Linked DNA regions of Caenorhabditis elegans. Changing the gene in region 1 together with any one later gene gives a genetic interaction. Each region holds a gene or a part of one and is shown on either strand. Other genes may lie near its edges. The genes, in order: lgg-1 and rer-1.

The links.
Region 2: of lgg-1 (region 1) and rer-1, changing one suppresses a phenotype caused by changing the other (phenotypic suppression), as found in Caenorhabditis elegans (one study listed by BioGRID).

What each region holds. Positions count from the first base shown.
Region 1 is NC_003280.10:6,340,767-6,357,207, reverse strand, and holds lgg-1 (Protein lgg-1), read left to right. Parts: upstream 1-9,488; 5' UTR 9,489-9,521; coding exon 9,522-9,809; intron 9,810-9,861; coding exon 9,862-9,945; 3' UTR 9,946-10,248; downstream 10,249-16,441. Other genes in the region: C32D5.12 (3-beta hydroxysteroid dehydrogenase/isomerase domain-containing protein), read left to right, coding at 1-72, 149-274, 323-436, 491-685; C32D5.11 (RING-type domain-containing protein), read left to right, coding at 1,769-1,866, 1,910-2,071, 2,119-2,256, 2,300-2,342, 2,389-2,486, 2,532-2,715, 2,762-2,896, 2,939-3,712 and 3 more; putative RING finger protein C32D5.10, read left to right, coding at 5,258-5,397, 5,442-5,723, 5,775-6,096, 6,147-6,278, 6,321-6,486, 6,532-6,636, 6,709-6,746, 6,851-6,917 and 3 more; txt-18 (transcellular chaperone signaling (x)cross tissue), read right to left, coding at 11,851-12,125, 12,174-12,280, 12,324-12,477, 12,593-12,824, 12,886-12,900; C32D5.8 (protein-disulfide reductase), read left to right, coding at 11,297-11,369, 13,503-13,788, 13,834-13,978. UniProt on the Caenorhabditis elegans protein: Ubiquitin-like modifier involved in the formation of autophagosomal vacuoles (autophagosomes). When lipidated mediates tethering between adjacent membranes and stimulates membrane fusion during autophagy. Recruits lipidated-lgg-2 to maturing autophagosomes.
Region 2 is NC_003280.10:8,804,612-8,821,352, reverse strand, and holds rer-1 (Protein RER1 homolog), read right to left. Parts: upstream 9,984-16,741; 5' UTR 9,979-9,983; coding exon 9,916-9,978; intron 9,863-9,915; coding exon 9,758-9,862; intron 9,648-9,757; coding exon 9,552-9,647; intron 9,507-9,551; coding exon 9,421-9,506; intron 9,366-9,420; coding exon 9,230-9,365; intron 9,182-9,229; coding exon 9,092-9,181; 3' UTR 8,720-9,091; downstream 1-8,719. Other genes in the region: F46C5.1 (DUF5380 domain-containing protein), read left to right, coding at 187-235, 284-561, 814-852; F46C5.10 (Neuropeptide-Like Protein), read left to right, coding at 3,017-3,059, 3,220-3,482, 3,538-3,582; F46C5.9 (WD_REPEATS_REGION domain-containing protein), read left to right, coding at 10,632-10,756, 10,807-11,164, 11,210-11,336, 11,384-11,613, 11,661-11,800, 11,989-12,131, 12,329-12,561; F07H5.10 (Decapping nuclease), read left to right, coding at 12,771-12,983, 13,035-13,130, 13,182-13,315, 13,363-13,714, 13,764-13,895, 13,950-14,027; pho-13 (intestinal acid PHOsphatase), read left to right, coding at 14,451-14,552, 14,600-14,704, 14,755-15,042, 15,422-15,725, 15,769-15,944, 16,042-16,182, 16,229-16,453; appg-2 (Activated in Blocked Unfolded protein response), read right to left, coding at 16,575-16,741. UniProt on the Caenorhabditis elegans protein: May be involved in protein transport along the secretory pathway.

The DNA.
Region 1 (16,441 bases):
ACAATCAAAGAATTAATTTTGAATTCTGCTCTACCATTTGTAACTGGAGAACGACGAGGAATGCATCAATTTGTAAGTTTTAGAGAGCTTCTATTTATTTGTGATATGTTCTACTTTGTCGGTTATGTATCATAAAATCCTTTCTCAGATATATGCTGGAAACCTAGCTGCAATCGCTGAAAAATCATTTTTCGGATTAATTTACAATTCGAAAAGATTGAATGGAGAAATTGTGTTCTGTATGGATGAGAACTGTGCTCATTCAATCAGAGATGTAAGTTGATAGAAAACAAATTCAACTTTTATTTTTTTTAACTTCCAGTTTTTCGAAAGTCGTTTTCTTAATCCAAATTACTGTCAAGAAGTAGCTGTCAGTTATTGGCCATCATTTGCCACTTCGTACTTAAACTATTGGAAGAATATGCTTGGATTCAAGGTACACTCTCAATTTACAGATAAACCAATATTTTTAATTTTTCTGAGTTTTTAGATCCCAGAAAACATTCTAAATCACGTTGCATTCCGTTTGTTCTTTGAGAAAACTGTTGGATTTCCTAATAAGAAACTGCGCCTGTTATTGAATTCTAAACCGGAAATCTCACAAGAAGAGGCATTCAAATTGTACGCGAACTCCAAAGCTTCGTATTCGAAGGAGGCAGTAAAGAGACCAACTGTGCAAGGATAATTCCAATTAATCCTAATAAACTTGAAGTTCAATCTGTTGAATCAGTTTCATTGTGCTTTATTAAAAATAATACTTTGCAAGTTATCAAATAAAAATTGTTGAAGTTTTGTCGTGTCGAGACCCAGTACCGTATTTGGCGTGTCAAAAATCGCGAAATTTCGCCTATGGGGATACGATAATCTAAATTTTAAATTCAAAATAGATGTATGATATAGGAAAATATTCCATCAATGTCTTTATTTTATTTATTTTGTTTGTATTTATAAATAATATATTTATTTCGAATGCTCGTCTGTTTCATGATATTGTCCTCGTGTTGTTCACGGCCGAAGTTTTTCACAATTGTCAATAGAGCGTTTTTGAAAACTCGTCCGCAACGATTTGAAACAAAATTTGTACAAAACTTTGTTGTACAAAATTCTGTACAGAATTTTGGCTCATTGTTTTCAATATTAACAAATCTTTGTTTTATTCTGCTTCTTTCTTTCTTCGGGGCTTACCAATTTATTAATTTAACTTTTGATTAATGAATAATCATTGTTTTTATTTCACACAAGTCTTCGAATATTTTGCTAATTTTAAAATATGAGAAATTTAATGGCAAAAAAGTTATGTTCATCGCTGACTGCGATCGGACCTGCGAGAAACCTGCTGACGCATTTCTCGATGCCAACGCCTCGCTTCTTCCCTCGCTCTCTCGTTTTTCTCTAGTTTCTGGGAATTCGTTCATGTGGTTTGATATATCGACTTTTTTGGCTTTAATTTCAACAATGTCAATACGAATTTATCAATCTGCAAGTGATATTTCATACCACGGAAGCATGCTATCGTATCTTTTCTGAAATTAATAGCCAAATCTCGAAACACGTTAATATTATCGTTCTAGAAGTGAAATCCGACGACATTTTTATTTTTTAAGCGATAGCTTGCTATGATTCATCATTTAAGTCATAGTGGAAAATCGATATCAGTATTTTCGGGTCGTCCTTGCCTCATTTCTGAAAAGAAAGTCATACTGCTCATTATTGATTTTTCTACTATAATGAGTGATAATAATAAAAGAAAAATTCTTTCAGAAAAACTATGGGGGACAGTGGTGTGGAACCTGTCATACCATCTCCATCAACAAGTTCAAACAACCCGGTTGAAGAATTGCAGTGCACAATCTGTTTATCTACGAGGTTGGATATAAATTCAAACAAACAACTAATTGTTAAAATTAAGATTCTCTCAAGAATGTCGCATCGAAGGATGCAATCACTCGTTTTGTTTTTCCTGCATTTCTGAATGGGTCTGCCAATCTCTACGCCCTTCATGCCCAATGTGTCGCAAGGATGTCGATAAAGTGTCGTATGATTTTTCAGAGCAAAAACTAGGACAAAAAGAGTTAGAACTTTTATTTTATTTATATTTACGATAATTTTCTGTTTCAGGATTGCAATCAAAGAATATCGAAGCGGGCATATGTCACTTACGCCTACAGATCGAGTTCAACTTCTCAGCGAAAGGAGACTAGTTGTCAGAAATTTAATGCATTCCTACAAGGTTGTAGGCTTGTTATCATCAGAAATGTGAGTTTGCTTGGCTTTTCCAACAAAACGTTCTATATTTCAGAAGCGGTATCGAAGAATCGAAGGAACCAGATGAAATCTTGAAGGTAAAAATTAGCACGCTATATAAACAGACTAAATATTTATTTCCAGAATGCATTGATTGAGTTAGCCGCTATCGTAACACAGCATATTCAAAAGGCAGAGATATCACTATCGGATCTTAGGACGGAGCAGGCTCGAATCAACAAGTATCAGTTTAATTGAATGAATATATTACCAAAAAAAGATTTCAGGTCAATTGTTTTCAATACGGTTACGTTTCGTCGAATGGTTTACACAAGCAAAGTCAAAGTAATGTATCCTGATTTGAAGAAAGTTAAAATCAAGCCATCTGATATTGCCAGAGAACCGGATCGTTTTAGAAATGTTATCACGAATTTTTTGATAGCTGAGTTCGACGCTATACCTTTCCAAAATGTAAGAAAATTTATTGAACTTTCTTGAAATTTTTAGAATTTTTCAGCAACCAAAACTTGCCGGCCACAAATGGAGAACAAAGTTTCTAGGTTCCTGCATCGATATGCAGCAAAAACAGCGCTATGCCGCTCAAATTTACGAGCTTATGCTGAGTCGTCCATCGGGTGATCATTTATTCCGGGTACGTCTACAGGAAATTTAATTTAAAACTGCTAGTTTTCAGAGAGAACTCAATGAAATTCTAACGCCTGTTAGTGCAGTTCATATTCAATTTTTGGACGATCATTTGGATGCAATTATTGCAATTGAAAAGTTAACAATCGAAGAATTCTACAACGAAGTTTACTATGATTCTATATACAATAGTTTCTCGAGTAACTTCTTTGATTATAACTCTATGGGACGTGATGATCCTCAAAGCCGATTCGAAGCACTCTTCAATCAAATTCATCGTGATATCGGAAGTACAAATGATTGGATGGATACTTATGTGGCAGGACGTCTTCTTCGTCAATCTTCAAATACTGATGGAACGGACCGTGCCACGAATAACGATGATGATAGTGATCGTTCTGAGTCGCCAGAAGAAAGAGTTCCAACGCCAATGCCTGACGAAGATCCACGTGAACAATCGTTGGCACGAGCATACTACGAACAAATGCTGGAAATGCCAAATCGGGTACCGCTGTCAATGAGAGCCTACCACATGATGCGTGATCGAGATGTTCGTGTTCGATATCCAACTACAGAAGAACCGGTTCCAGTTGAGCCTGTAACATTTGGACAAACTACTAGAACTTTACCTATTTCACAGCAACCGACAACTTCTCGCAGTCATATGACGCTGAGATCTGCAATGAGACGTTTAGATTCCGATCGTCCGACAGACGAAGAGATTCCGCCGATTGAGAGTCGGCCCCAGACACGCCGCGAAATCGAAAGAGATCGACTTCTACAAAGAGTTCGGGAATTTGATAATCGATCACGAGGGCTTTCGGTGAGTATTATTGAGAATTTATAAAGAAGTGAATGTATTTAATTTAATAGTAAGTAAAACTTGAAGATTTTCTATATTTCAGAGTCTCTTCCGTCACCCTGCATCGTCGGATTATACAAGTCGACGATTCACTTCTGATGGTTATTCTGGATTGGTTGGTTTAAAAAATATATAAACATAAAATATCATCAAAATTGTTTCAGGTTATGCTCTCGCCACGGTTAAATTCAACCACTACATCATCTACGAGTATACCTGTTTATCAGCCGCGAACTATGACGAGTAATGATTTCGCGCATTTAAACCGAACCAGAAGCATTTTGGAGAGAAGACATTTCCCACAGCCACCACGGGAGCAAAGAATCGAAGAAGTGGAACAACTTTTCAACAGAGCTTACCAAAATATGCAGCAAACTCATCAAGCAATTCAAGAACATGCTAGCACAAGCAATGCACCGACACAAATTCCTCGTCCAGCAACTCCAGCACCCGCTATATCTGACGAAGAATCTCGATCACTTGCGGAAATTGTTGCAACCATAAATCAGGAGGATGCTGATAATGGACTTGACTTTATTTCGGTTGCTCATCGAACAAGATCCGCAAGAAGAGGTAAATTTCTAACTTTAAATTGTTTTTTACCGAAATTTGATTTTTCAGCAGCCGAAAACGGGCATCCACCCGAGGGACCACCAGCCAAAAGATCAACAAACTCTCGTCGTGATAGACGTTAATATCCAAGAAATACGCTCATTTAAAAAAATAATCTTGTTCGAGTTTCTTAAACATTATATCTGTATGGATAAATGTACACTCGCTTCTTAAACAACCCGTTTCCTTCACTGTTTAGTTGTACCTTGTGACATGTACATTCAAATGTTACTCAACCCCCGTTTTTTTTCATTCTATGTGTTCTGCTTTTTTCAAAAACTTTATTAAAATATTTAATGAAATGTTAAAATAATATTTTGAGCGAATCAGTTTGTGAAAACTGTTTTATAGACAGGTTTTTGGTATTTTCTGTGTGTTTTTTTATTATTTATGTTTTATTGAGAAAGATGTTTTGTTTGAGAGCAACGAATCTAATAATAACAAAACTTACTATAAGCTAGAAAATTCCAAAAGATGCACCCAACTATTTTTTTTTCCAATTTTTCATAATAATCTATTTGTGAGTGTTTTCTCTGTATCCGGTTTCTGTTCTTTCCATTTTTTAAGGGAAATTTCCTTATAAAAATTCAAATATCTCAAAACTATGCTTGTGCGCTCCAATGAGATCTATTTGATTGCTTCCATCTTTATCAACATTTTAGGCTTTTTTATTTTACTTCGACTACCTTCTTTCTTTGATATTAATTTTAATTTATTAATTTAATTTTTAAAAGAGAAACTGAAATTTCAAACCAGAATATGGGAAAAATTAGTTAGAGTTTTCAAACTTGAAAATTTTGCGCAAACTGAAAAATATTTGTGAGAAACTAAAAAATTTCCGATAGTTTATTTTTTAGAGGAATATTTCAAATCTCAAAAGAATTGAAAAGCTCAATGGATTCTCCGAGCACAAGTGAATCACCACTGAAAAAGAATACAATTCAGGATTTTGGAGAAAGTAACATGACAGAAAGTCCCCAGTCTAAAGAAGAAATCGACGAACCGGAAGAGGAGTGTTCGGTATGCAAAAATGAGTAAGTTCATTCAATAGTATTAATTAAAAATTGATTTATTTCAGAATTATCGATACAACCTCGTTGAGTGATTGTTGCCATGAATTTTGCTACGATTGCATTGTAGGCTGGCTCACGAAGGGATCCGGTCCTTTCTGTCCAATGTGCAAAACACCAGTTAGCTTCATCCAACGGAAAGGAACCGATGAGAAAATAACCGTCCAGCAAATAAAATCCGAAGGAGAGCCAGCAGCGACTGCTTCAGAAGATCTTGTGACTGAGAAGAGAATTGTGTCGAGAAAAATTCGAAGTTGTCGAAGGCTAATGAACCAAATTGACGAGATCATGTAAGAGTTTTCGATGAGTAATATACAAATTGTATTTGAACATTCTTTTAGTGGAGCAACATCAAGTAGATCTGATAGTCAAAAAAGGAAGCCACGATTAGAAGAGTTGAACTCGATGAAACAACTGTGTGTCTCACAATTGAACTCCCTGCAAATGCTCCGAGACGACATTGATCATGGAGCAGCAAAAGCATTAATTGTCTCAAAAGCCGCATTCCGAAGATTGATCTATGAGCGTCAAGTTATATCAGAAGGATTGCCAGATGCAACTAATTCTCTGTCGAAAACTGAATTCCGTGATAATATCGATCACTATCGAGCAGTTTTACACAGTTTCTTGAGCGTCGAGTTGAAATCCCTTCCGGCGAAGACGGTAACGTTTCCCATTAAAACATAAAAGTGTTCTAATGAAAAGTATTTCAGCAACCACGTGTCGACAATGAAAATAGCTGGTATTTTTATACACTTCATGATGTGGCCGAGGGAAAAGACGAAGAGATTATCAATAGAATATTCAGTATGATTGAAGATCGTGGAACGCGTGATCTTAATGCGGTAGTTCAAAAACAAATTTACCATAAGTTTGAAATGTTTCAGAGAGAAGTTGATGCAGCATTGAATGGGCTTGTATCATGTCGGGTTGTAATTGCATTTATTGCTGAGCTGAAGTCTTTGATTAACAGTCGAAAGTCATTTTTGGAGTGGTGCGGTGCCATAACATATCGAATCAGAACAGATCGCGGAGGTGAAAGTGCTGGAAATGGTAGAATCATATTTGTACTTAATTTCAAAAAATCGTATCTTCCAGATGTTGTGACGGTCGACGATTCAATTGAGCTTGAACCCGAAGAAAATAGATCAAACCACAGGTCGCGCCGATTCCCGGTTTTTACACCATTCGACCGAGTTTTTGGTATTTAATTTTTTATCATAATATGCTTTTAAAATATTATTTTAATTTAAAACTTCAAAATAAAATTTTCAGGATCTACCATGGGACACATGTATCGAGGACAACCGCAAGTGAGTTTGCCGCCCCTTTATGACCTGTTGAGTGTAAGTTTACATTGTAGCATTATCCTGCCTCATCATCTGACACCGACCAGGACGATGACATCTACTTTCAGGCTCCTCTTCGTCTTGGCCCTAATGCTACGAATCCGTTCAGGCCAGCTCCGCTCCCGGTGCCGTCACGTAAGATTTTTCAGATCGGCTCTTCAAAAAGTTAAATTTTTACAGAATTACCAATCGCTGGTATTCCATGGGCAGAATTAACGACATCTTCAGCAGGTGCTGGTTCTGCTCGAAGTCGTGGATCCGACAGTGTAGTAGAAATTGACGATGATGATGATAATGATGGTGTCGATGTGGATGATGATGACAGAGAAGACAGTGATGAGCCAAGAACGTATTCAAATAGTGAGGAAGATAGCGATGAAGAGATTCAAGTTGTTGAACGTGATGATACTATTATTCTTGATGATTCGAATCGATCACTTCCTAAACCTGTAGCAAATGGTAGTGCCGACAGGAAGAGAAAGTACGAATTTCCATTAGAAGATCATTGGAAAAAGGCCAAAACCAGCCAGTTACCTGAGGGGCTTGTTGACGATGTTCAGGAATTGATCGCGAAGTACAATATGCCGTTAACACAATCAATGAATATGCTTGTCGGCGCAGCACAAGAAGCCATTATCAGGATTAACAAACCAATGCCAAGCACTTCAAGGTGGGTTTGAAAAGATTTTATCGTGGATATGTAATATTCCAATTTCAGTGCTCCAGACATTTCGAAGTTCAAACCTGATGATATGTTACAGCTAGCAAGTTGTAAGTTTGTCATATTGCAGATCAAGTCTCATAACTAATTTTTACAGATCTCTCTCGAACTGGTGCACTTTCAAGGCGACAGTAAATCGACATTTGATCTCTGTTAAATCAATTAAAAAGGCGGATATCGACGAGTTTTCAAACTTTTTCCTAGGCATATCATAATTTTTTACAACTTTTTTACTTTTATTTTTTCTGACATTTCGATGTTTCGTAGTAGCAAGTTTCCAAATGTTCCATCCTGGGCTACAAGCGAACTTATTCGGCAATTTTTAGATTTTCGTTGTTTACGGTTCAAAGAAAAAAGCGTTTTTCATATTTTTATTGTTTCTCCATGTTAGCTATCATTTTTTATTTATTTATATTTATAGCTTTATTCTGATTATTGTACTTCTGTCCGTGTAAAACATTTCGTCACTATTGACTGTCTATAAATTTTTAACCTTTGGTTTATTGTTTGGTTATTTTTTTAATATTTTTTCTCGGTTTGCTTCCGGCAAATTTTTATCTTGTTCCTTTTTATATTTTTGCCTTTCTGATCGATTACATGGAGTGCACCCTAATGTCTTTAAGATCTTTTAATTGATTTGTTTTATATTGTCAGTTCTAGCGTTTTACCAGCTGGTCTTGAATGCCCTCTTCTAGTTCATTACATTCTACGTCACGGTGACAGCTGTGAATGTGGATGATGCTCTCATTGCTCCAACTCTTTATTTTAGAATTATGTCGCTAATGCACTTTCCACCTACATATTATTGTATGGATATAGTAGTTATATATCGTTTATTTCGTTTAGTTTTAGCATATTATGTTCCTTTAATAGCAAAACATACTCAATACCAACTGTTGTCTAGTTGTTATTCTAACCTTTTATCACTTTTGATCATTTCTAACGTTTAAAATTTCCTATCAAAAGAATCTAAGAACAAACAATCTGTCGATCGGCACCTGAAACCCCGATGATTCTACACCATGCTGCTCTACTTCTCTCAAACCATCCAATGTTTCCCTATACTCTCTTGCTCTCCTCTGCCTGCTGTCTCGTTTCGCCGCCGTATGACACAGTCACATGATGTTGAGTCGTGGTGTCTCGTCGTCTCCGCCCCTCTCTCATCTCTCTCTCTTTCTAGCTAGTGCCATTCGTCTTGGTGTGTTCAGTCTTGCCTCTCGCTCTTCTTTGCGACTTTCTGCCATTTCTTTCACTTTCTGGCGACGTCGGTAGCGACAGTACTTTTTTATTTAAAAGTTTGTAATTTTAGTTGGTTTGTTTAAAAAACCGGTTTCAAATCAAAATCTTTTTTAGATTTGAAATTTGAAATTAAGAAATGTTTCACAAGTTTGACTATTAAATGTACGGTTTAACAATTCTATCTAAAAATATTGCTAAATCATACCAAAATTATTTATTGAACGGTCATATTAATCTAGTTAATAGTTGATTACTAAAGTCTTTCAGAATTCAATTTTTTGGAACAATGCGCTAAGAATATTCGTAGAAACTGGTTATGGATACTAGTGAATATTGGATAAATGTTACTAATATATCGATCGACTTTCAGTCTTCCCAGAATTACAGTTTCCCCGACAACCTCTAAACAGCTGCATTGTACTTGTCCTGTTTCTCTGCATCTCAACAAAACCAGGCCAGACAAACATAGAAAATCAATAGGATGTCTCCTGCGTCTACGCGCTCTCATATGACCGATGTGCGCGCACACTCCCTCTCTCACTTGCACACGGGCCATTCTTGCTCATGCTCTTTTTGCCTTACTAGTACTCGTCGTCAATTTTATATAGATTTCGCAATGTGTTATCGAATCGGTCAATCTCTCAAAACCCATGTGATGTCACCTTCATTCACTCTCACTTGTTACACCTTTCTTCTCTCATGGTTCTTTTATGATTTTTCTGTGATTTAAAGTATTTTTATTCCAGTAACCTTCTCTTCACACTAACCTTCGAATCAAAATGAAGTGGGCTTACAAGGAGGAGAACAACTTTGAGAAGCGTCGTGCCGAAGGAGACAAGATCCGCAGAAAGTACCCAGACCGTATTCCAGTGATTGTTGAGAAAGCACCAAAGTCAAAGCTCCATGACTTGGATAAGAAGAAGTACTTGGTCCCATCCGATCTTACTGTTGGACAGTTCTACTTCCTCATCAGAAAACGCATCCAACTTCGTCCAGAAGATGCTCTGTTCTTCTTTGTCAACAATGTCATTCCACAAACCATGACCACAATGGGACAACTCTACCAGGTAACTAACCAGTCGTTTATTTTCATTTAATTAACCCTTTTCTTTATTACAGGACCATCACGAGGAAGACTTGTTCCTTTACATCGCCTACAGTGACGAAAGTGTGTATGGAGGAGAGGTCGAAAAGAAGGAATAAAGTGTCATGTATTATCCGCCGACGAATGTGTATACTTGTACAATGGAAATTTCATACTTCTAATGGAAACCCAAAGCCCCTTTAAAAAAATCTTCTCATTTTCTGTAATAATTCTGTATTTCCTTCACATTTTCTTCTCATTTTTCTCGTATGACGGTTCCGAGTAGTGACTTCTATTCAAACTATTGTCTACGAAGTTGCTCTTCTCCCCTCCCAGAAAATCATGTTTTCTCTCGGATTTTGATATTTTTTTGCTATTACTTTCAAATTTTTGATTCATGAATAAACGAAGAAGACACAAACAAATTCATGTTCATGCTCATCGTTATTTTCGGCCAGCGAATGGAATACCTCCAACAGTTAGCAATACACATTGCGAAATCACTTTTTCATCTGTATAGAATTGACGTCACATTTGTATTACGTAAACATCATTGTAGATTTCTGAACAAAGTATAGAGAAAAATGAGAATTTTATTTCGAAAATGGTGACACACTTTTGGCAAAAAGGCTCTTTGTATCCATTAGTCATCTGTCAAATGACAGTTTATTCTAGTTGTCATCGTCTGAAAATGTCATAAGAGGGCTCAAACGTTGACTTAGGAATCATTTTTGATTCGATTCTGGCATATTTTATCATTTTCGAGACACAATTTTGGTACTACCCATTTGCAGAAGTTTGAGATTTTCAATGCGAAAATACGGTAGCCGGTCTCGGCACGATGGAAACTTTTCAGCTACCGCACCCAAAAGTGTTTCGCAATTTTCACCTGTATCTGTTGTAATAGTTTCACTTAAAATTCCACATTTTTAAAGGAAAAACCGATACATTTTTGGAAAATTGTAGGAGATCATGAAAAATTAAAAACAAATACTTGCGGATACGGTATTTAAATAGTTTTGGCCGTTTCGAGACCGAGTACTGTAGGCTAACTCTAAAAAAATCTGCAAAATTTTCAAGATGTATAATTAAATACATATTTTTGAGATTAAAAAAAGAGTCTCGTTTCTCTACATCTTACTATTGTAAATCTACGAGTCGCCGCTGCTTCCCAGTCAAATCGATTCTATAATTACACCTTCTCCTTTTCCCTTTTTCCTCTATCCATTTTCTCGTTGTTTTCCCTTCGTTGCTATTAGAAACTGGCATGGCTTTATTCATAAAGTGGTGTTTATACTCTTTTTTTTTCTATTTTTCTGCCTTTTTGAATTCATCACGTGTATGTTCTGCCATCTCTTCTTCTTCTTATTTTTTTCAATTTGATCGCAAAATTCGATCGAAAACGTGACCTTTACCTTTTGAACGGTGTATTCGTTATCTCATCGGTTTCCCCATCATTACTTGACTGTGATGGGGAACACGGCGAATTCGAATTCGAAACAACCAGCAACGAGTGCCGCGCAGATGTCGGTCGACCCAAAAGGTAGTGAAACACTGAAAAATTTGGCAAGTTTCTCAGCAGGTGACCTGATAAACACGAAAGTTGTTTCGTTGCGATCGGGTATTATACGTTTACTTTTTGATTAGTTGTACATGGTTGGTTGGTTAACATGGTTGGTTAACCAACCACCACGTCATCTTATTTTTTAGATATCAATTCCATAGTGTACGATGAAAGTCAGTCGAAAGTATAAGCCCAGTTTAGCATTCAAGTAAATTTTTCAATAACTAAGATACCGTTTTTATATGCTCACTAATGTTTCTTATATAGATCACACAATCAGAAGATATTCGGAGCATTTCGTAGTAACCTGTTCATTCCATGAAAAAAGTATTTGCGATCAAAAATTCAGTGGTTTCATATAGGAGAGACCATGATCATGAATAAACAAACAAGAGTGTCTCGCTTTCTAGTCATAGACTATCACTTCCAATCTATACTCTTTTTTATCATTCCTTTCAATTTATTTACTTTCTTCTTTCAACCTAGACTTTTCTTCTTCGATAAACTGGAATAATCGAACTTTGTGAAGCATCAACTTGTCGTTTGGCACATCTTCTAAAAAGTTTGTTACATAGGCTATGATGTCTGCGTGTTTTTCAGAAGTTGGTAGATTTGCTGTTGAGTTAGGTGTTTTTGCAGAGCAGGTTGAAGGAGCCGAAGAATTCAATTGTATACTTGTACAACTTGTAGATTGCTGACATGTAACCGTATCTATAACTTTTTGAAGCCAGTCATCTGAAAAATTACTTGTAATTTACATACACTTTAAATCACAGTTCAGACCATTCAACTTGTCTTCTGATAGCTCATGCTCAATCTTTGGCTTTTTTGCTTTTACTTGTTGATCATCGGCTTCTGCATTGCAAGTCGTTAATGTCAATTTTGACAAGCTGGAAAAAGGTTTCCGTTTCGGAAATCTAGATCATTTCATACCTGTCTGTTTTTTCCAAATAAGGAATAAGGAATTGTAGACAATCGTAGAACGGAACTATAGACTTGGACTTCTCATCATTCTTATCACCACCATTTCTAATCATTTTTTCAAAATCATTGAATAGGTATAACCATAACTTTTCGGCGTTTCTACCTGTAAGTTGATGTGGTGTTCATAAACATGTTTATTCCTGTTCACATGTTTACAGTCCAAATCAAAAACAGTCTTTCTCTTTTCGTAAATCACATTTTCAAAACTAAAAACTAACCTTTCCTCATTGCAAGAAAATGTCCACATTTTTTCTCTATAATATAAAACGCTTTCTGTCGAAAATCACTATTCTTCTTGCACGGACTGTATAATTCTTCTCTTCCAGAAAACAATGATATGAAAAAGTCGATGTCAGATCTTCTATACGCGTCATAATGTGAGAAAGGAGGGATCTTTGATGGTCGACCCATTTTTCGTTTCTGCTCCGCTGAGCCAAACTCTAGTAAATCCTAAATTTTTTTGATTTGGAAAACCACGTGAAAAACGTAGATCCTAGCTTTTCAGACTTACTATGAACTTCTCCATATTTTCAAAGCGGTAGAGACCAAATATTAGAAATAAAAGTGGAGAAACTTATGAAAATCGGGATCGCCAGATGTTATTAGAAAGTGAAGAAATGCTAAGAAAATATATGAAAGTGCGCAAAATTTGAGACGCAGATTTTAGAGCGTCGAGAAAAAGACTCGTTTCGAGCGACCCAGTTCAAAATCTCCAATTATTGTAAACTATTTCCTCCCTTCTCCAACATCTCTCTCAGTTTTGTCAGAGTGTTGTGTGTTGACAACACCAACAACTCCCCCCGTTTTTCGTTTTGATTCTTTCTTTTCATCACGAATTCAATTTACTGTAGATTGTCATACAATTCATTCCAATAATGAAATGGAAAACTAGTTCAAAATATTCAAAACCAACATCACTAAAAGTGAAAGATATTTGTTGATCTTAAAACAACACATGTTCCTCATACATTTCATCATAGAGATATTGACTCATCCTCCGCATCATCCTCATTTTCCTTAGTTTTTGTTCCGAAAGTTTCATATAAAAACCCTAGGACTAAACTCTCCTTGTCCCATTCTATCAATTTCTCAACTCTTATATTGATTCTCCAATATATATATTTTCAGGAAAGAACATGTCTCTTTTGGCTGGAGTGAAACTTGAAAAACGCGACAAAACGTTGGTCGACGCAACTGAAGCTCTAGCTGGAAAGGCCGTCGGATTCTACTTCTCGGCTCATTGGTGCCCACCGTGCCGCGGCTTCACACCAATTCTCAAGGATTTCTATGAGGAGGTTGAAGATGAGTTCGAGGTCGTCTTCGTCTCTTTCGATCGTAGCGAGAGTGATCTGAAAATGTATATGAGCGAGCACGGTGATTGGTACCATATCCCATATGGAAATGATGCCATCAAGTAAGTTATAACTCTATAAAATCCTCTTTAACTAGTTTTTTCCAGGGAACTTTCCACCAAGTACGGAGTTTCCGGAATCCCAGCTCTCATCATCGTCAAGCCAGACGGTACTGAAGTAACAAAGGATGGACGTAACGATGTGCAAAATGGAAAGGATCCAAAGGCCACCGTCGCCAAGTGGAAGGCTTAAGCCGAATCTGCCGACATAATTCTCTGCAATGCATCTTTCTCGATTTGTTCAACCATTTTGAAGCCATTCCCATCTAAACATCCATTTGCAATACCCATCTCTCCTATGATCCTAAAATATTTCTCTTTTGTATGGAAATTGGCAGTAAACAATAATAAATATATTTATTGATTCCATGCGATTCTTCATTTGTTTTTCAGTATATCAATTACGAATTGTTCTCTTCAAAAGTCAGTGTAAACAAAGGGAATGATGTGTGAACGTTTAATTGGTCAGTTGGAAAGATTTTAACTTGTCCATCATAGCTGACGTACAAGAAAACAATTGTTCTTTCTACGAAGGTTTTAAGATATTTAACAGCTCAAAAAATAATTATGACTACTAGAGATCTATAGATACTTGAACATAGTAAGCAAACACTCTTTGAAACCACAACATAATTCTGAAAATACCCTTTTTCAGACCACAAGAGTACATCACACCTTATCCGGTCTTTGTTGCCTTGACAACATCTTCAATCTCTTCTTTTTATTCACTATTTCCCTTTTGGATTTTGCTGCTCCATTCTTCTCCATTTGCGTCACAACACCACCTGCCTCTCGTTTCCGCCCATCTGACAATGTTTCTATTTCTCTTTCATTCACATTCCAAAGCTTCTAACGATTTTTTTCGTCTTTTCAGCTTATTACTTTTCCAAAAAAAATTAATAAAATGACGATAGCAGCTGCACACATTCAATCACCTTGTCTTCTTCGGTGCGCGGTGACTCGAAGAGTAGTCAGACCCCGCCCACTTTTCAGTCCCGTCTCGTCGTTCTCAACCTCTTTTTTCTTATTCATCAATCTTCTCGTTTTCTTCCCACTTCAAATCACACAAACACAGGCACAAAATATTCTAACTTGACTGATATTAGCTGTAGACATAAATCTATATAATAGAGAAGAGACGAGAAAAAGGAAAAGATGAACGAAGAAATTGAAATGAGCAGTATGGTAGGTTCTGGAATAATTGAAATAAAAACAATTATATTTGATAATTGAACTATCACGTTTTTTAATCAATCAACTACATTATTTATTGCCAACATTTGGTAGTAATAGAGCTTCTACGACAACACCCAAAATAGGAAAGGGAAAGTAGACTTGTTTTTCATTAAAATTGATTGATGAAGAAAGAGGATCAATATCGGATTTGATTCTATTTATATTTAAGTATCATGGTTCGTCAGAATATTTGTTTAGATACTATGTGATAATTCCAAAGTCGATTGAGCATTTGGAACAACAATGGCCTACCGTAGTCTCCCTATTACAGATGCACCCTCCTTCTACTTTGACAGTGTATATCTTGGTTGTCTTCAGTTTTATCAAAAAATTATCAACTGACAAAATGTGTGCAAAATAATTCTCTATGTTTAGGTGTTAAACATTTTTTGTTGAAAATCAAGACCACCAAGACACAAGTCATCAAAGTAAAGTAGTTCAAGTCTAATAGGGAAAGAACGATAACTTGGATGAGTTAGATGGAGCACATCTTGAACTGAACAACAACATAAATTTTTAAAAGATAATTTGGTAAATTTTTGATGGCAATGACTGTTCATTGAATACATTAAAAATTTAATACCTTTTAAAAACACAATTATATTTCTTCATTTATATGACAAAAATTCAAAGCCACCCTTTTTAAACTAACTTTTGAAATATTTTAAATACAAACCAATTCGTTGTTGAAATTACCAAGCACATTCGTGCATTCTGTAAAGTTCTGATTAATTTCTTCAATATTTTCGATTATTTTTATTCCTGAGCTCTGACTCATTCCATCATCATATGTTTCATCCTTATCGTAGTTCAGACAGTCAGGAGACCCCAAACGTTCCTCCCACTGTCTGTCACTATGTCATTTTGTTCCTCTGACCCAAATCACATCTTCAAGGAAGTATTTCTCTTCATGTCTATGCCTAATTTCTCTCGTTCCTTTTTCCTTGAAGAAGGGCCTCCCGGACAGTTCATACAAACATCAAACTGCGGGTCGCGGTCATGCATAACTGGTGAGAGAGTGTTGGATTCATAGAGTATCAGGCACACCCACATAACATCTTTCACTTTTACCAAACAAAAAATTTGTGGACAAGTGCTCATTTTTGCTCTTTTCCAATTCTATTTTGTTGTGTTCAGTACTGTTTATCTTTAGCGTCTCTCTTACTTTCATGCATTCTCGAGTTTTCTTTCATTTTGACTGTATTTGAGTTTCCACTTTTATTTATTTTTCTGTTTTCCATTTTCCATTTTCTTTTTTTCCATTTTCCCATTATTCATTTCTTTCCTTTTCACTATTCAAAATGTTCGTCATTCAAATGTACGGCTACCGTACTCTAACACCAATTCCCTAGCTTATCGGTGATTAAGTTTTGAATCAGATGTATTTCATTTCCAAACTTCCATTTAAGCTGTTCTATGT
Region 2 (16,741 bases), 2.5 Mb from region 1:
AAAATGAACTCAACAATACTACCCACCCTCTATTGATAATCTGCGTCTCTTCGTCTTATATGCTATTCTGATCACATTCGGTTCTTCTCTCTGTTCCCACCCACAGAAGAAGAAGTTTGCTATAAAAGGGAAGACTAGACTACTGGATTTTCAACAGCAAAAGCTTAAACTTCTAAAATATCTACAATGCAATCTCACTTCATCACCACTGCTTCCATTCTTTTGGTTGTCATCGGTGAGAGTGCGTAAAATATAAATCTGAAAATAATCAAAAACATTTCAGTTGCCTTCTGTGCCGCTGCCCCAATGATTGAGGAGCCAAAACTTGAAAAGCCAACCAATCTCGAAATTTTGTTCGCTAAAATTGTGAAAAAGCAGAATGAGTCCAAGCAACACCGTCTCATCAACTTTATCAGCCGTGCCATGCCAGGAGGTGTCGATGCTCCAATTGCATCAATGGCTGAATACGAGACTTTCAAATCTGACAAATCTGCCAATTTCTTGAGCGACGGAGCCGGACACGTAGTTTTCCGCCAATACAGACGTGCTCGTCTTTCTGATGTAAGTTCATTGAGACTACAATCTGATAGTGAGAAAGATAGAATCTTCGGAAAAGAGATAGTCTGTGTCGGCATGTTGAACGCGCAAGTGATATATCACTGTTATCACTTTTCAATTTGTTCACTGGTCGAGATGATTGTTAACACCTCCGTAGATGATTCTTGGTTTTTTCAAATGATCTAGTTGATCTCACTATCAGAACTTCAGCCTAATCTGAAATTTCTGAAAATTTTTTAATTTCTCAATTTTCAGATTCTCCACAATGTCAACCGCCGTGCTGGAGGAGTCTAATTTGACCATTCGATCCCATTGATCTAGATCATTCGACCATCCCCTCAGTTTTATCATTTAGTTTCCTTATTATCCTGTAATAATTTCATTCTTTTTCCCCAACCCTGTCTCATTTGACAGTTTCTGTACACTCATTTTCCCCTCTCCACTGGACATATCAATTCGCCATATCAGACGACACTTTCTTATGACATATCATCTTCATCATCTACCGACATATCATTCGACACGGGTCCACCCACGACGAAAAAACTCTCATTGTGTTCCTTACATGAAATGTTTCTGTGTACATTCCGACTTCCTTTTTTTGTATGTATATTTCGATCAAGAATAAAATGGTAAATTAAATCCAAAATTAGTTTATTCAAGAGCAAAGCAACCACGAGCTCAATTTTCTTTGAATTTTATCATGAAAACTACCTATAAATTCTGAAACTCTTTTAACAAAATATCAAAACGAATGCTTTTTAAAAAATTCTAGTTCTACATTCTGAACAAATGCTTTCAAACAAAGCTCATGTGATAGTCTACATCCCTAGACCCTATAAAAGAAGATAAAATCTTTCTTAAGTTGTGGAATCAGGAAAACCTAAGGTCCCTTCAATGATGTCACTGAACTTTGTGTGATCAATTTCTCCGACTGTAACAAAAGAATCGTATATCTTCTTTGAAAGTCTTCATTAGTTTGCCGAAATATACCCAAGTTCTATTTATAAAAAAATCCATTGAAATAAAATGAAAAATGATTTTTAGAAGTCATCAATCATGCCTCGTGATTTTTAAAGAACACCGTTTAAAATAGAACAAAAGGAGATAAGGAAGTTTGTGGAATTTTGATAAATGACATATAAAAATAATGTAACCTTTAAAGTTAAAACAAAAAGTGTTCAATGATAATGAGATTCAATAGAATAATAATTTCAGAGTATCTAGAACATAAATTCATAGAATAAATGTCTTGCAGCTTGGTGGTCGTCTACCATTTTCCTCCGTCCTTATATACTTTGTGTCAGATCAGAGTACGCTCAAGTAGAGGAAGGCGTGGCCTCCAGAGAACAAATTAATGTGAAGTAGCACGTCTACCATCATCTTGACGATCAGTGATGCATTTCTCATTTTTGGATTCTAGACTACTTTCACACGTGAAATTCAGAAAATCAGTTTGATAGCAGTTTATCTGTTTGGGTGGGCTTCTTGCTCAACTTTTTCAAGCTTTATAAAAGTTTTTTGTGAAATGATATTCCTAAATTGATAATTTGACATTTCTAAATATATTGTAAAATGTGTAAGTTTAGTGAATGTTATGACACAGGTGTTCATTGTCAAAACATCTAGTTGAAAACAATCAAAACGATTATGGTACGTGGAACTTATTGGGGAAATTGATTCTTTTTTCGAGAAATCATATGATCTCGAAATGAAAATAGGACTACCTTCACGTGATTAACTTATGGTACCACAGACTAAGCTTTTCATGTAACCATTACAATGCCTGCCTGCCTTGCACCTACGCATGCTTACTGTTAACTACCTTCATAAGATGCCAAAAACTATACTGCGCAAACATCGGTAGGTAGGCTCAGGCATACAGACATGCCTGCCTATGATGCTAAAGAACAAGCCAACGAACATCACTACTTGAATGTAAATATTTGCATAAATTTTTGCTTTGACTTCTGCTTTCAATTCAACTTTGAAGTTCTTGTTGATACAAAAATCTATTTTTAGAAATATATTCAGACATTGGCCTAAATTTAGATTCCTAAAAAAAAGTTTCAGCCTGCAAATGTGTAGTCGTTCCACAAATTCTCCAAAAACTCCACCTCTTTGTCCTCTAAAACTGGATGCCTAAAATAACTTCACCGATCGTTTTTATTGTTAAAACTTCCGGTGCATCGATGAAAGTTGACGCACGTCTAACACCTCCAACTTCAGCCTGCTATTAGGAATTAGCGTCATTGGTTGATAGAAGATCACAGTTTGCCGATCCATCACCACTTCTCTTATCACAATGCTCTCTAACCACCGCACGTGTCGGCGTGTCTGATGTTCCTCTGATCTATCATCAAGGCATCTGAATCAGATAAATAGCGGTCGACGAAGTCACGACTTCGCAAAGTTTTACACCATCTTCTATCAGTCCGATTCTTCTGAAAACAATAGAATGCTGCGATTCTTCACTCTCGTGGTTATTTTCGTTATTCCATGTAAGTCTAGAACACTTTTTGAACTTTGTCTGAAGTTTTATATTATTTTAACCAATAGTACATTTTATACATTTTATTTTCAAATCGAAGCTGCTCTAAAAATTCTGACAGTATATTCAATACTGTCTATGTTCTATTTAATTAAATTTAAAATTTCCAGTCATCCTTGCCGCACCTGAAATCGATTCCAATTCATCATCTGGTTTGGATGTTCTTTACAAGAAATTGATTAAAAAGCAAGAGAGCGTCAAAAACTCCCGTCTTATCGATTTTATCAGTAAAGGTGCTCCATCTGGAGTTGATGCTCCAATTCCATCGATCGCCGAATACGAGACTTTCAAATCTGATAAATCTGTAAACTTTTTGAGTGACGGAGCTGGACATATTGTTTTCCGTCAATTCAGAAGAATCCGAATCTCTGATGTAAGTTCAACTCAACGTTCTTTTAAATTTCAAGACAAACTTTTCCATTTTTCAGTTGCTCGGCTCCCAAATGAAAACCCGACCTGGACTTCGACTTTAATTTTTCCTACTGAAAATGCCACTTTTTCTAATAATTATGTACATGATCATCTTGTTTTTTAATACTTGAAAACGGGTCAATGACGAAAAAAACAAATGAAAAGAAACCCCAAATATCTGACAAATGCTAACAAAATATTGATTGCATAAAACTGACGAAATGAAGAATTCCTTCTTGTATCTTTTTACTTGATCTGTGTTGTTGGAAATGATAAAAAATAAACGAGATAAAAGAGAAATCAATAAGAAACACTGACCAGTGTGTCATTAAAAAAGGCTATAAAATGAAAATAAAACGGAATCTGCGGTAAACTATCAATTTATCTACGAAGTAGTTCAGTTAATGTTTTCAACTGAACATTTTTGATAATAAAACTAATTTCATCTGATCGATTGTCACTCGGCTTTAAACGCCTATATATCTTGTGGCAAATACCAAATAGTTACCATCTCACGAATAAAGTTTTGATAGTTGATATTATACGTTGCTAATTATGCAAAATGTATTTTGTGGCTCAGAATTGGTATTTTTGCAAAATTTGAACAAAAGTTAAAACATATATCTCAAAAACCTTTCTTAATGTTCGGTTGCACAATTTGATCCGATTTATTTTTAGATAGCGTATGCCCTCTACTAAACTTTACCAGCTCCTAACGTTATTTATCTATTTTTCAAAAAGCTGGTAATTTTGAAAAAAATAATACTAGATATCGTGAAATGCTTGAACCTTGAGATACCAATTTACCAAGACTATATCTGACTTGTTTGCACTCAAATTTCACAATATAAGCAGTGTGTTTAGGAATCAAAAAATCTTTAAATTTTTTAACTACTAGCGATTTTTCTTCCGCGTATTCCCAGATCATCACAGATCACAAAAATAACACCAAACACTAATTCACTTTTCCAGTTTCAGGCTGAATGTTCATATAAACAACCTTACAAATCAAAGTGATGCCTTTATGGTTCATAATTTCAGTCAGAAACTTGATTGGTCTGTAATTAAATACACACTCGGTACATCCTGGGTGCATATGGTAGACGCCTTTCAGGATGATAGAATGACAGTGATCAACATCGAAAAGAGGAACAAATGAATGAACAAAAGAAATTGCACGTGTAGCTGAGTATTACCGAACATGTGAATGAATTCATGTTTACATGAACATATGAATTAAGTTGTAAATAATAATATTTTGGAGAGTTTAAAATAAAATTACACAAAATACAACTGAGGTATGTCTCAAGAGGGTAAATACTCATTGACTCCTTGCTCTTTGAGGGTAGTCAATAATCTTGGAGTCAATGAGTATTTCCATGGACTGCTTGTATTTTTCCAGCTGATTCTCTCCTACATTCTGCTTATTGCATACTGGTTTTCATTTTTGTCAGTGAAAACTAAAAAAAAAGAAAGTATAGGGAAAGAAGTAAGACACAGAGTCAAACTCTTTTACCAAAAATCATTAATTTTTAGCAAACCAAATGATCAGGAATATCTTTTCTTCCTTTTGCAATATTTTTCATTGCAAAATACTTATCATTTGCTGAGTTACACAGAGTCAAAGCCATTTTACCGAAAATAATAAACAATTTTGAGAACTCTTCTGTTGTATTAGTCATAACTCAACATCTATTGCATTTCAAAAGAAAAATTTTGTTGAATAATGAGTAAAAAATATTTTGCTACATTTTATCAGTTTAACGTTTTTTGATGTTTTTATGTTCAGCAAAGTTACAGACCGTTTTCTGAAAAAATCCAATTTCGTCCATAAAACTCTTCATATCGAACGTATCGACTTGAAATTTTGAAAAATGATCACTTTTTTGAAGTCTCTACAATGTCCTAAAAAATCTTTCAAAAAATCCTGCTAATCTCCAAAATCGTCCTCCGCTCCAAAAAACGAAATCGGACTTTTGACTTTCGGAAAATGACGAAAAAATGAAATTGGGATATTTGGGTCGAAAAATATATTTTTAGAAAGCTGAGAACACGTTATTTACGAATATCATATTCATTTTTGATAATTTCGCCTTTGAAAAGACCTGAATTTAAAGCATGAACCTTAAGCAAAGAATAAAAGAATAAAATAAAATAAAAAGAATAAAAAAGAATAAATGTCACGTGAGCATCAAAATTAGCTTCATGATTTAATTTCAAGTCTTTTCAAAGGCGAAACAAATCAAAAATGAATATGATATTCGTAAATAACGTGTTCTCAGCTTTCTAAAAATATATTTTTCGACCCGAATATCCCAATTTCATTTTTTGGTCATTTTCCGAAAGGCAAAAGTCCGATTTCGTTTTTTGGAGCGGAGGACGATTTTGGAGATTAGCAGGATTTTTGAAAGATTTTTTAGGACATTGTAGAAACCTCAAAAAAGTGATCATTTTTCAAAATTTCAAGTCGATACGTTGGATATGAAGAGTTTTATGGGCAAAATTGGATTTTTTCAGAAAACGGTCTGTAGCTTAGCTGAACATAAAAATATCAAAAAACGTTAAACTGATAGTGTAGCAAAATATTTTTTATTTACTATTCAACAAAATTTGTTTTCTGAATTTCAATGGATGTTGAGTTATGACTGGTACAACAGAAGAGTTCTCAAAAATTTTTATGATTTTCGGTAAAATGGCTTTGACTCTGTGTAACTCAGCAAATAACTAGTATATTACAATGAAAAATATTGCAAAAGGAAGAAAAGATATTTCTGATCATTTGGTTTGCTAAAAATTTGCTTTCTAGACGCGTATTTTTCGAGATACGCTAGTTTGAAGATACACAATTTACAGAGATTTTAGGCAGTTATTTGATTTAATGAGGTTTTTTTTAATGATTTTTGGTAAAAGGGTTTGACTCTGTGTAACTCAACAAACAATTGGTAATTTGCAATTCAAATTGTTGCAGAATAAAGAAAAAATATTTGTGAGCATTTTGTTACTTTAAAATTTGTTTTCTAGAAATGTATTTTTTAAGGAAATAACAGTTTGAAGATACCCATTTTAGAGAGTTTAGGAAGTTTTGGTTTGCAATTTGCAAGGATGAATACATTACAATTTTTATCAAGTTCTGCCAAATCTAAACGATCTTATTCTACTAATTAGAAGTTTGATTTGAAATTGGAGAAAAACGAGTATTGCATTTGCAAAGTATATGTCACAACAGTTCATTTCCATATACTTTAAAAGAAATGCTCAATGTGGGACCTGCTTAAAGTTTCATACAATCGATTTTTTTTTTGAAATCTAGAGATCATTATATCAATTATATTGCATTCGTGTTTGATGTTGTCTTCAGAATAGACTCATCAATTGTTCAATGATATCTCTTCTTTTTTTTAAAACTACAAACTAAACTAAAATTCGTCATTTTTGTGGTAGGCTACAACGAAAGTGCTTGCTGTAAGATATTTTGTAGTTAAAGACGAGATAAAAAAGTTATAATACAGAAGTCGTAACAATACATGTGGCGCTGTTTAAAACTTATATAATCTAGTCTGAAACCGTATATGTAGCAACTTTGTTTTGTGAGTTCTATAATTGTTAACACAACAGCTTCAACCCCATTTCAGCCCTTTTCTCAAATTTTTTCCAGAAGCTTCCGGATTTTTCTTGTAAATTCAAATTTTCGGTAGTCGATGAAAATTTATTTTGAGTTGTCCATATTAAAATAATTTTTAAATAATTGACTTTTATTCGTGTTCAACTTTAAATTACTGAAAATCAAGAATTTGGGTGCATCTGTAGTACATTCTTGGTACACAACTTCCTTCTTCACTTATATATCTAGTCTTCAAACAAAGAACGCTCATTGGAAAAAACTGATTTACAACAGTCGCAAGACACCGAATTCTTCGTCAAAATACGATCAGCAGCGACATATCACAAGGTTTCAAGAGATCGAATGAACTGAATGGACCGTCTCATCCTTCGTCCATCATGTTCCATTGAACAATTTAGCACGATACAGCGTCATAGAAGCCACAATCTTGTGATTCTCAAAAAGAGGAGGGGCTAGATGCAGAGAACGATTGAATGACGAATGTGAAGATACAGTATCTGTATAAAACCTTCATAGTGGAAATTCGCTTCCCGTTTTTTCTAGACACATGAATGATCTACTGTCTTGCTCTCTCGTAAGATTATGGAATAAGTTTTTTCCAATAAGACATTGTGTTTACTCTGAAAAAGCGGTAAAATTATCTCAGTTGATAACTTCATAAAAAATAAAAAAATATTCAAAATGGAGTGACACCAGTAGGGAACTTGCATTTAAAATATTCTTATAGTACATTTGGCACTTTTCCAAAACTTTGCTGAACATTTTTTAGAAATCTAAAACTTTTTGTAGTGTTTATCATGACATTCGGTTATTTGGAATAAAAGCATTTTTCAAACAAAATACATGTTATAGTGGTCCTACAGATGCAAAATTTGACGAATATATTTATTTGGTGTTAGGAATGAAGTTTATAAAGTTAGGTCACAATTGTAGTTTGTTCTTAAGTAGTTCTAGTATATTTCAGTTGTTTTCTCTTGATGGGATACTGAGGTGGAGTTAGTGGAGGGATACTGTTGGGTTACTGTAGTGATACTGTGGTAGTATGATTTTTGAGATTATATCGTTTTTTTTTAATTTCCAGAAATTTATTCACTATGAAATGATCAGAACTTATTATGAACATTTGATAGTATCAGTATACTTTTCATAAGATTAATTATCCGTTTAAAATATGTTTAAAGCAATAATGTTTTTATATACGTTTCTGTTATCGGTCGTTTGAACAATTAACCATGATCGATCTTCAATCTGTACTAAATCGTTTGCAAGCTTCGAATTGCTTATTTGTTCAGCCACGTAATTGTTCATTTGTTTAGTTTCTGTGTGAAAAATTCAATTAGTTTTGAAGAAGAAATAAAGAAAAATAAAAACATTTAAATCTGTCAAAATCTTCACGAAATCATTTATCTGAAGTCTCTGTGAGCAATTCGAGTGCACCGACAATTAAATTACATTCTCAGCGATTTTTGAAAATGTAAAAGCTCTAAAAAGTAAAAGCTACTTCTTTCCGATTTTTTTCAGAATTGAATGTTGCAATTATCAAATCTTAGTATTGTTTCCACAAACTCATCCCAACATTATCATCTTGAGAATTCATTTCATCAAACATAAAACACGAATAAAATCACATTTGGTAAGAAGACGCGCAACAAATCAAGCAGGTCGTTTTTTTATTATTGGAGCAAAGACAAAGCTGATTTTGGAAGGAAACGTTGTGTGAAAGAGCAATAAACTATTAAAAAATCAAAAGGGAAAACAGGAGGAAAGCAAATAATTTAATACGGGGACTCGTTACTTTGAGATGTTTCAAAACATTGGCTTTTGAATAAATAAGTCATATGTGTTTCTATAATTCTTTCAAAATAACAATTAGAATTATGAAACTGTTTTAATATTTTACGAAAAACTTTAAAACAAGACTAAGAACGACAGATTAAGAGTGACCCGTTTCAACCGACGACAACTTTGCCGGTGTCTTCCTTTCCAGCCATTCGTGGCTTTCCCACTGTGAATGGAATGTATCGATATTTGATCATATGCTGGAATACATATTATTTTGAAAAGAATGACGAGTTTAAAAAACATACCATAATCTGTCTCTTGAGAGTGAGGAAGGTAAGGATGAAGAAATACATGACAAGAATTGGCCAGAATACTGGAACATCGAAGAATTCGAAGAAGGTGCAAGTGATTGCGATCAGAGTGGCCTTCATGAAGGAGTGCCTAGAAAAATAATATTTTGAATGACTTTCTCCGTTTCAAGATAATAAAGACTAACCAAAACTTAAACTCTGGCAGACGACGCATGAATGGGCGGAATTCGTCGTTTGTTTTCGATGGAAGAACTGGACCATCATCTTCATCCTGCAGAAAATAATGTTTACTTCATAACAAAATAAAATAACAAACCTCGAACTCTAAAGCTGGATCAATTGATGGAGTTAAAAAGAGCAAGAAGAGATTCAAATAGTAGATACCGACAGCATATGCAACAATGTAGAATCCCTGAAATCAAATTAATTATAACGTGACTTGAAGAAAAAAAAAATAACTCGTTGGTGATGAACTTTTTTTTTTGAAAAATTTTAACATATTTTCTATTTGTGCTCACTTACTTGCAAGAGAATAATTCTAGACGCAAAGAAGACGAGCGAGATCAGAGCGATAACCCATCGGAATGCAGTATGTGGCGTGAGACGATCGAGATAGTATTGATACTTCTGCAACATAATCAATAAAGTCACAATTTGCATTCTGATTAAAATTAACTCACCACTTCCAAACTGTGAAAGAAACGAGATGTTACACCTGGCCTGTCCCGAAGTCCGTCGTCCATATTACCTGATGAAATTGATAATGAACAATTGAAAAATTAATTTTTAAATTAATCAAGAATTAATTGAGAATAAAAACTTCATAGACGTGATGAAAATACGTGAAAAGTTGGGAAATATTGATTTCGATTAAAAAAGAAGTACACGTAGAAATATACGCAAACACGGTGACGGCAGAATGCACACTGTCTCTTCAAAACTTTTAAGGATGAATAAATTCAATTTTCAAGTTTTCTGTTATTTTTTGCTATTTTTTCATCAAAAAATGAAAATATTTTATATAGCAAAATATTCTGAAACTACCTAAATTTATTTCTTTGAATTGTTTTGAGCATTAATGGGAATTTCACAAGATTGATTCAGTTTTGCGAAGTTTTTGTTATCGAAAGTGTTCAAACTGCTATAGGGATATCCTAATGTATTTCTATTTCTATTTATATTCTATCGTGATTACATTTGGAAAATGATAGAAGAGTACCTTATATACCACTATAGTTACCATTGATATTTGAAAAAAAACTTATTTAAGGCATTTAAAAAATTGCAAGCTGGTTGGCTACCGTAATCTTCCTTTTCGAATCGCGAGAATTATTCTTACTTTTCGGTTCTTTCATGATACAATATTAGTAATGTTCCAATATTTTCAGATTAAACCATGATTGACATCGATAGTGTCAGTCTACCAATTCTGATCGGGGGATTAGTTGGCTTTGTCACTGTGATGGGAGTAGCAATAATCTACGTAGCAAAGAAGGAGCAACAAGGAGAACAGGAAGAAGTGTAAGTCATTAAAATAATGAATTGAACGTTTTTTTAATGAAACATTTCAGTGACGTTGTAATGGATGAAGTGACAGAGACGATTATTAGCGAGGAACCAGTGAAGAAGAATAAGCACCAACGAACGAATGATCAATGGAAAGCAAAGGAACCAACATTCGTTCATCCATGGAACGTATCAGTATTGAAAGGACATAAAAAAGAAGTGACAGATGTTGCATTTGCTTCAGATGGCAAAAAGTTTGTATCAATTTCCGGAGATCGTTCGGTTATTCTCTGGGATGTTAGAGACTTTGAGAACAAGGAACACAAATGTATCAGACAAACGGTTGAATATGACACTCCAACTCGTGTAGTATTTGCTCCGGATTGTAAGAGTGTTGTATTTAGTGTGAAAAGAGAAAACAAGGTATACAATGATTGAATTTTGATCAACACATTCATAATTTTTCAGATTTGCGTCTACAAGCTCGTTAAGAAAACCGAAGGATCAGGATCCCATCATTTTGTGCATATTGACAATTTAGAATTTGAAAGAGTTCATCAGGTTGATATTCAAAATATTGGCATTGCCGGAAACGGTAAGTTAACTGCGAAAATTGTTTGGCAATTTATTTTTAATTTTCAGCGAAATACCTGATGAGTGCAGCACTCGATAACAAAATTTGTCTTTACGATCTACGCGGACAACTTCTACAGTCAATTGATGCTAAAGTGAGCAGTCTATATGACTGTCGTCTCTCTCCTGATGGTCGTTTTATCATTGTATCAGGATTCACACCAGATGTATTTGTTTTCGAGCCAATTTTTACAAGAGATGGAACATTCCAGAGTGCCAAGAAAGTGTTCAGTCTCAGTGTAAGCTACATTCATGATTTCCAAAATTTCATCTGAATTATTTTTAGGGTCACCAATCTGGAGTACTTGCTGCTGCTTTCAACAACTCATCGACTCGTGCGGTCACAGTCTCCAGAGACGGAAAATGGCGCATTTTCGACACCGATATTCGCTATGAGGCTGGGCAAGATTCCAAAATTTTGAGAGAGTGAGTTAAAGAAAAGCGAGAAACCGAAATTATATAGCGGGATAAAATGAGAAAATAGAATAGGTGATTGCTAGGCAACGAAAGTGAGTAGACGTCTATAGCGAAAGAGAGGCGAGTTGATGATAAAATTGTGTTCTGTTAAGCACTGCGTCTTATTGAATTCACACTAGAAAGTAACAATTTTTCAGGGGAAGCTGGGCTCCTCTGCATGCCGCCACAAGTGAACACGTGCGATTAGAAATGAGCCCAAGTGGTGACTCATTTGCAGTTTCGTTCAAGACAGATTTGAAGGTGTTCGCTTCGGAAGACGAAACCAAGGACTATCCGGAATGTAAGACAAAATTGATTGGATTTTTCAATATCAAACATTTATTTAAAACTTTTTTCTAAAATATCGGATTTTTTTTCTGTTGAACTTTCTGAACATTGTCAATTTGCTCATTTTCGAAAATTAGTTTAATTTTAGAACAGTTTAATTGTAAATAATCCACGATTCTTGAAAACTGAAACCACATTACAAATTTTCAGTGAAAGACATCTGCTCGACTACAATTTCATCGATTGCCTATTCCTCTGACGGAAAATATATTGCAACATGTGGAGACAAATATGTCCGTGTCATTCGGAATGTTCCAGAGTGGCACAGCAGAGTGGTTAAACTGAACCGAGAGCTTCCAGAAATCACACAGGAAGGTGCTCGTCGCCGTATCAAAGAGCAGATTGATGAGGCTCAGGAACTTCTGAAGCAATTCGAAAAATAATTTATTTTATTCGTGTAAAGTGCCAATAATTCCCTCCTAAAGCGGTGTTATGTTTATTTATTTATTTCTTCGCATCATTTGATTTTATAAATACGTGTACGTAAACTTTATCTAATGGCTTTTCCCACGTTCTCTGTTATAAATCCCGTGAAAATTATATTTTGTTATGTTTGAAACATTTATTTAGGAAATTACTCCTTTCTAAATAGATGAGTCTTCCTCCTCGACCGTACGATAACAGACCCCCAACGGGAGTTAGAGCGAAACCTGTGATCAATCTCAATATAGAATACACTTCCTGCAATGATTCAGTGGCACCTGCATGTAGCACACGTCCGATGCTTATCGAGAACATGATTAACCAGAGAAATGTCAATATAAATGTTCTGGAGGGATACGATCCTAAGTCGAAAAGTGTTATTGTAAGACATTCCATAGTTTAACACGGCAATTCTTCAATAATTCATATTCAGAACCAACATTCGATCTACCATCTCTATGAGTTTGAATCTAAAACAAGATTTCTCGATCGTATTCCACGTCCACGAGTGAGCCGATTCACCGAACTCGTAATTGGATATTTATGTAAAAGAAAAAAAAAACTCATTTTTATTTTGCAGAAAACGAGATTTCTCTGTTGTCGCTATGTCCTTTGTGCAATTGATGATGTGATGCAAAAGCAAAAACCAATGGAATTGATGGCAATTCGTTTGAATGGAGACATTTACATTGGCGCTAATAAATCTATGGATTTGTAATATAACGATTTTAAAATTTACTAAACGATTGTACTCGTTTTAGGCAAACTGACAAGAAGACCCAAGAGGCGGCATTCGGTGGTTTGAATTTCGCCATGAAGGTTACGAGAGAATCCGATCAAAAAATACTCAAAAAGCATCACAGTGTCGTCAAGCAATTGCGAATTGAGAACACGAGAAATTCAATGTCAATGTCAATTTTCGTTTCAAGTGTCGCCCGTGCTTTTGATCAACGAGGAAACGTTGTTGAATTGAAGACAGTTGGCTCGAAAGTTATGGGAAAAGTTCAGAACCTTTCAAGATTGAAAGCTAGAGACTGGTGGCTTCGAGCTTTGTTGAGTGGAGCTGACCGCATTGTTTACGGTCTGAGAATGGATAATATGAAAGTTAATGAGGTAACACATTTCAGTACATTCTTTTTAAAAAAACACAATTTTACAACAGATCCACGAAGCTCAACTCACCGACTTCACCAAAGGACACTTCCGTTTTGACGGTGCCAAGCTTTTCTCTGAAATTTTCAAAATTTTCAGTACAATAGACAAAATAATCGGTGCTGAAGGCGATATGTGCATGGTAATTTAAAATAATTTTCATTTAATTATGAAGTTTTATAATTTTTAATTATAGGTAAAATCAGATGGCTCCACTCCGATCAGTGTGACATTGACAACAAGAGAAAGCCTGAAAAGAAGTCCATTCTGGTGACCTGGCAATGAACAACGCTACAGCATTTATTACACACGTGCATCATCATATCGGGATTCCCAAAATTTCATTCGATCTAACTAATTCTAAAAACTTTATTTATTAATGTTCGGGTGATATCACATGTGATCCCTTCCTGTGTTTATACTAAATTTACTTGTTACGAGTATTTCTAATGAATGATCTCTCTCTCTCCTGTTCTAATTAATTTTAAAATGCTCCTGGAAATTCTACTTGATAAAGACGCTTCCATGACATTTTTCAAATTTCAGCCGATTATTTGAAACAGTTGATAAGAAAATGTGTATGAACCAATGTTTGATCTACGCTCACGCTTTGCTCTGAATCTGAAAATTAGTTTAGTTTTAATTTCTCCCCGTATTCGTATTAATATCTACACTCATTACCCCATTTCTTTGTGACATGCTACAATTTATAATAATAATAATAGCATGGAATCTGGCAATCGCAACAAATATTTCACCTGCGAAAGATGGAGTTATGGAGTTGAAAATGGTTCATATCGTAGGTTTTATAATGTTTTGGAATCTAGTGTTACGATTTTTGAAAAGGTTTGGAGGCATGGAGATAGATCACCTACGACTACATTTAACGTGGATCCATTCCAAGAGGATAGTTGGACATTTGGAGGTGGAGGATGGGGACAGCTTTCACCGGTAATGATTGTTCATATGGAGTTAATATAGTTGTTTTGGATACCTTTCAGCTCGGAATGAATCAACATTTAACTCTTGGAAAGAAGCTTCGCAATCGTTATGTCAACACAGGAAACTCCACCCACAACTTCTTACCAGCAGTCTATGATCAAAAAACAATGTACATACGATCTACGGGAATCAATCGAACTTTGATCTCAGCCACTTCAAATATGCTCGGAATGTATGGACAAGACGGCTACGGTAGCTCGGCTGGAACTGATTTTCCAGATGCTCAGGGATGGCCACGTGGCTTCGTTCCTATTCCAGTTCATACCGTTGATTATGACAGTGATCATGTGAGATTTTGGGCTATTTGAATCAATAAAAAATTGGAGAATAAAGGTGAAGTATAGAAAGTATTTTACATCGCTCCACGCAATAATGCCCAAATATCGTAGTCAGGCTATCTTAATTTTGGAAGTGAATAAAACACATTTCTAAAAGTTTTATTTTTTAATTGCGTTTCAATTATTTGTATTCAAACTTTCTAGGGAATCTAACCTACAACAATGCTCGGAATTACTCAAAAAATCCGTACTGTTGGAAAATTTGGCAATTTACCAAAACTTTGAATTGGTGTGTCTTATTATGAAATTTCGACATATTAGACTATTGTACTATTTAGACTAGATCGGAAACTTTAAAACTATATTTAATCAGAAGCAGTTGTTTTAGATTGGAAATATGGACTGCATCTGCCCACGTCGTGAATGGCTCTGGAATATTGCTCAACAATCGGACGAAATGAAGAACTGGAGAAGCTCAGTACCAGTTTCATCAGTAATCGACAAACTAACGTCACTGGTTAATCAAACATGGAGTCTAGAAGATTTCTGGACTGTCCCGGATGCCTTATTCATTGAACAAATATATTTTAATGAATCACTTCGAAAAGAGAATACATGGTTCAATGATGATTTTTATAGTCAAATTGTGGCAGTAAATGATCAAATTTATATGTATCAATACGGAGTATTCAGTACGTTGTTTTTCTAAGAACATTGTATGTAATAATTTTTCAGATAGTACTATTAATATGAACAACATGAATATTGGCCTTGAGCTTCTGAAAGTACGATCCGGACCTCTTATGAATGATATGATGGATAGAATTAATAAGAAAAGTGATTGTACATATGGAAAAAATACACAAGGGTGTGATTGGATAAATGGACTCAAGTACTTCGTTTATTCAGCTGTGGGTTTTTTGGTAGTAACCTTAAGAAGCTTCTGGAAATTTTTTAGTTGTACATGTTATTCACAATTGAATTATTACATTAAACATTTTTTTTCAGCACGATGAGACCGTATACGCAGTGCTAGTAGCTCTTGGCATCGAACGATTTGCTATTAAACCTCACGGATATCCACTTTATTCCGCTGCCGTATCGGTTGAATATTGGAGAAATACTACTGATAACGCTGACTATTTTAAGGTAGGTTTGTTCGGTAAAGCAATATTGTAATATCTAAGTTTTGAAGCTGGTTTACCACAAACAATCTGGAGATGACTTTACTGTGATGACGAAGGAGATTACTGGATGTGGAGGAGATTACTGTTCAATGAATGTGTTGAATCAAATTGCAAACAATTTAAAACCAGATCAACCTATTGATCAATGGTGTCTCGTTACCGGATCCTCGAACTCTTCTTCACTTTTATTTTTGATTATATTCACTTTCATTTCAAAATATATTTTATTCTAGAACACTATATGATATTCATAAATATTTATTGATGTATGATAAATAAAATACACTTTTTTCGCTTTAAAATTAAAATTATGGCAATAATGTGCGTAGGTAGGTTGTTTCCTTTTGAATGGATCTATCGTCTTCTCTTTCTGCAGCATTGGTTATTTCCACAAAGTGAGAATCCAGTTGAACAATTGCATTGTGAACCACTCATTGCACATGGTTCGACTTGCAACGGGCAGTTCTGTTGACAGGCGTTCTGGCAAGCTGGCAGACAGAATTCAATTTGGGTCAGAAGTT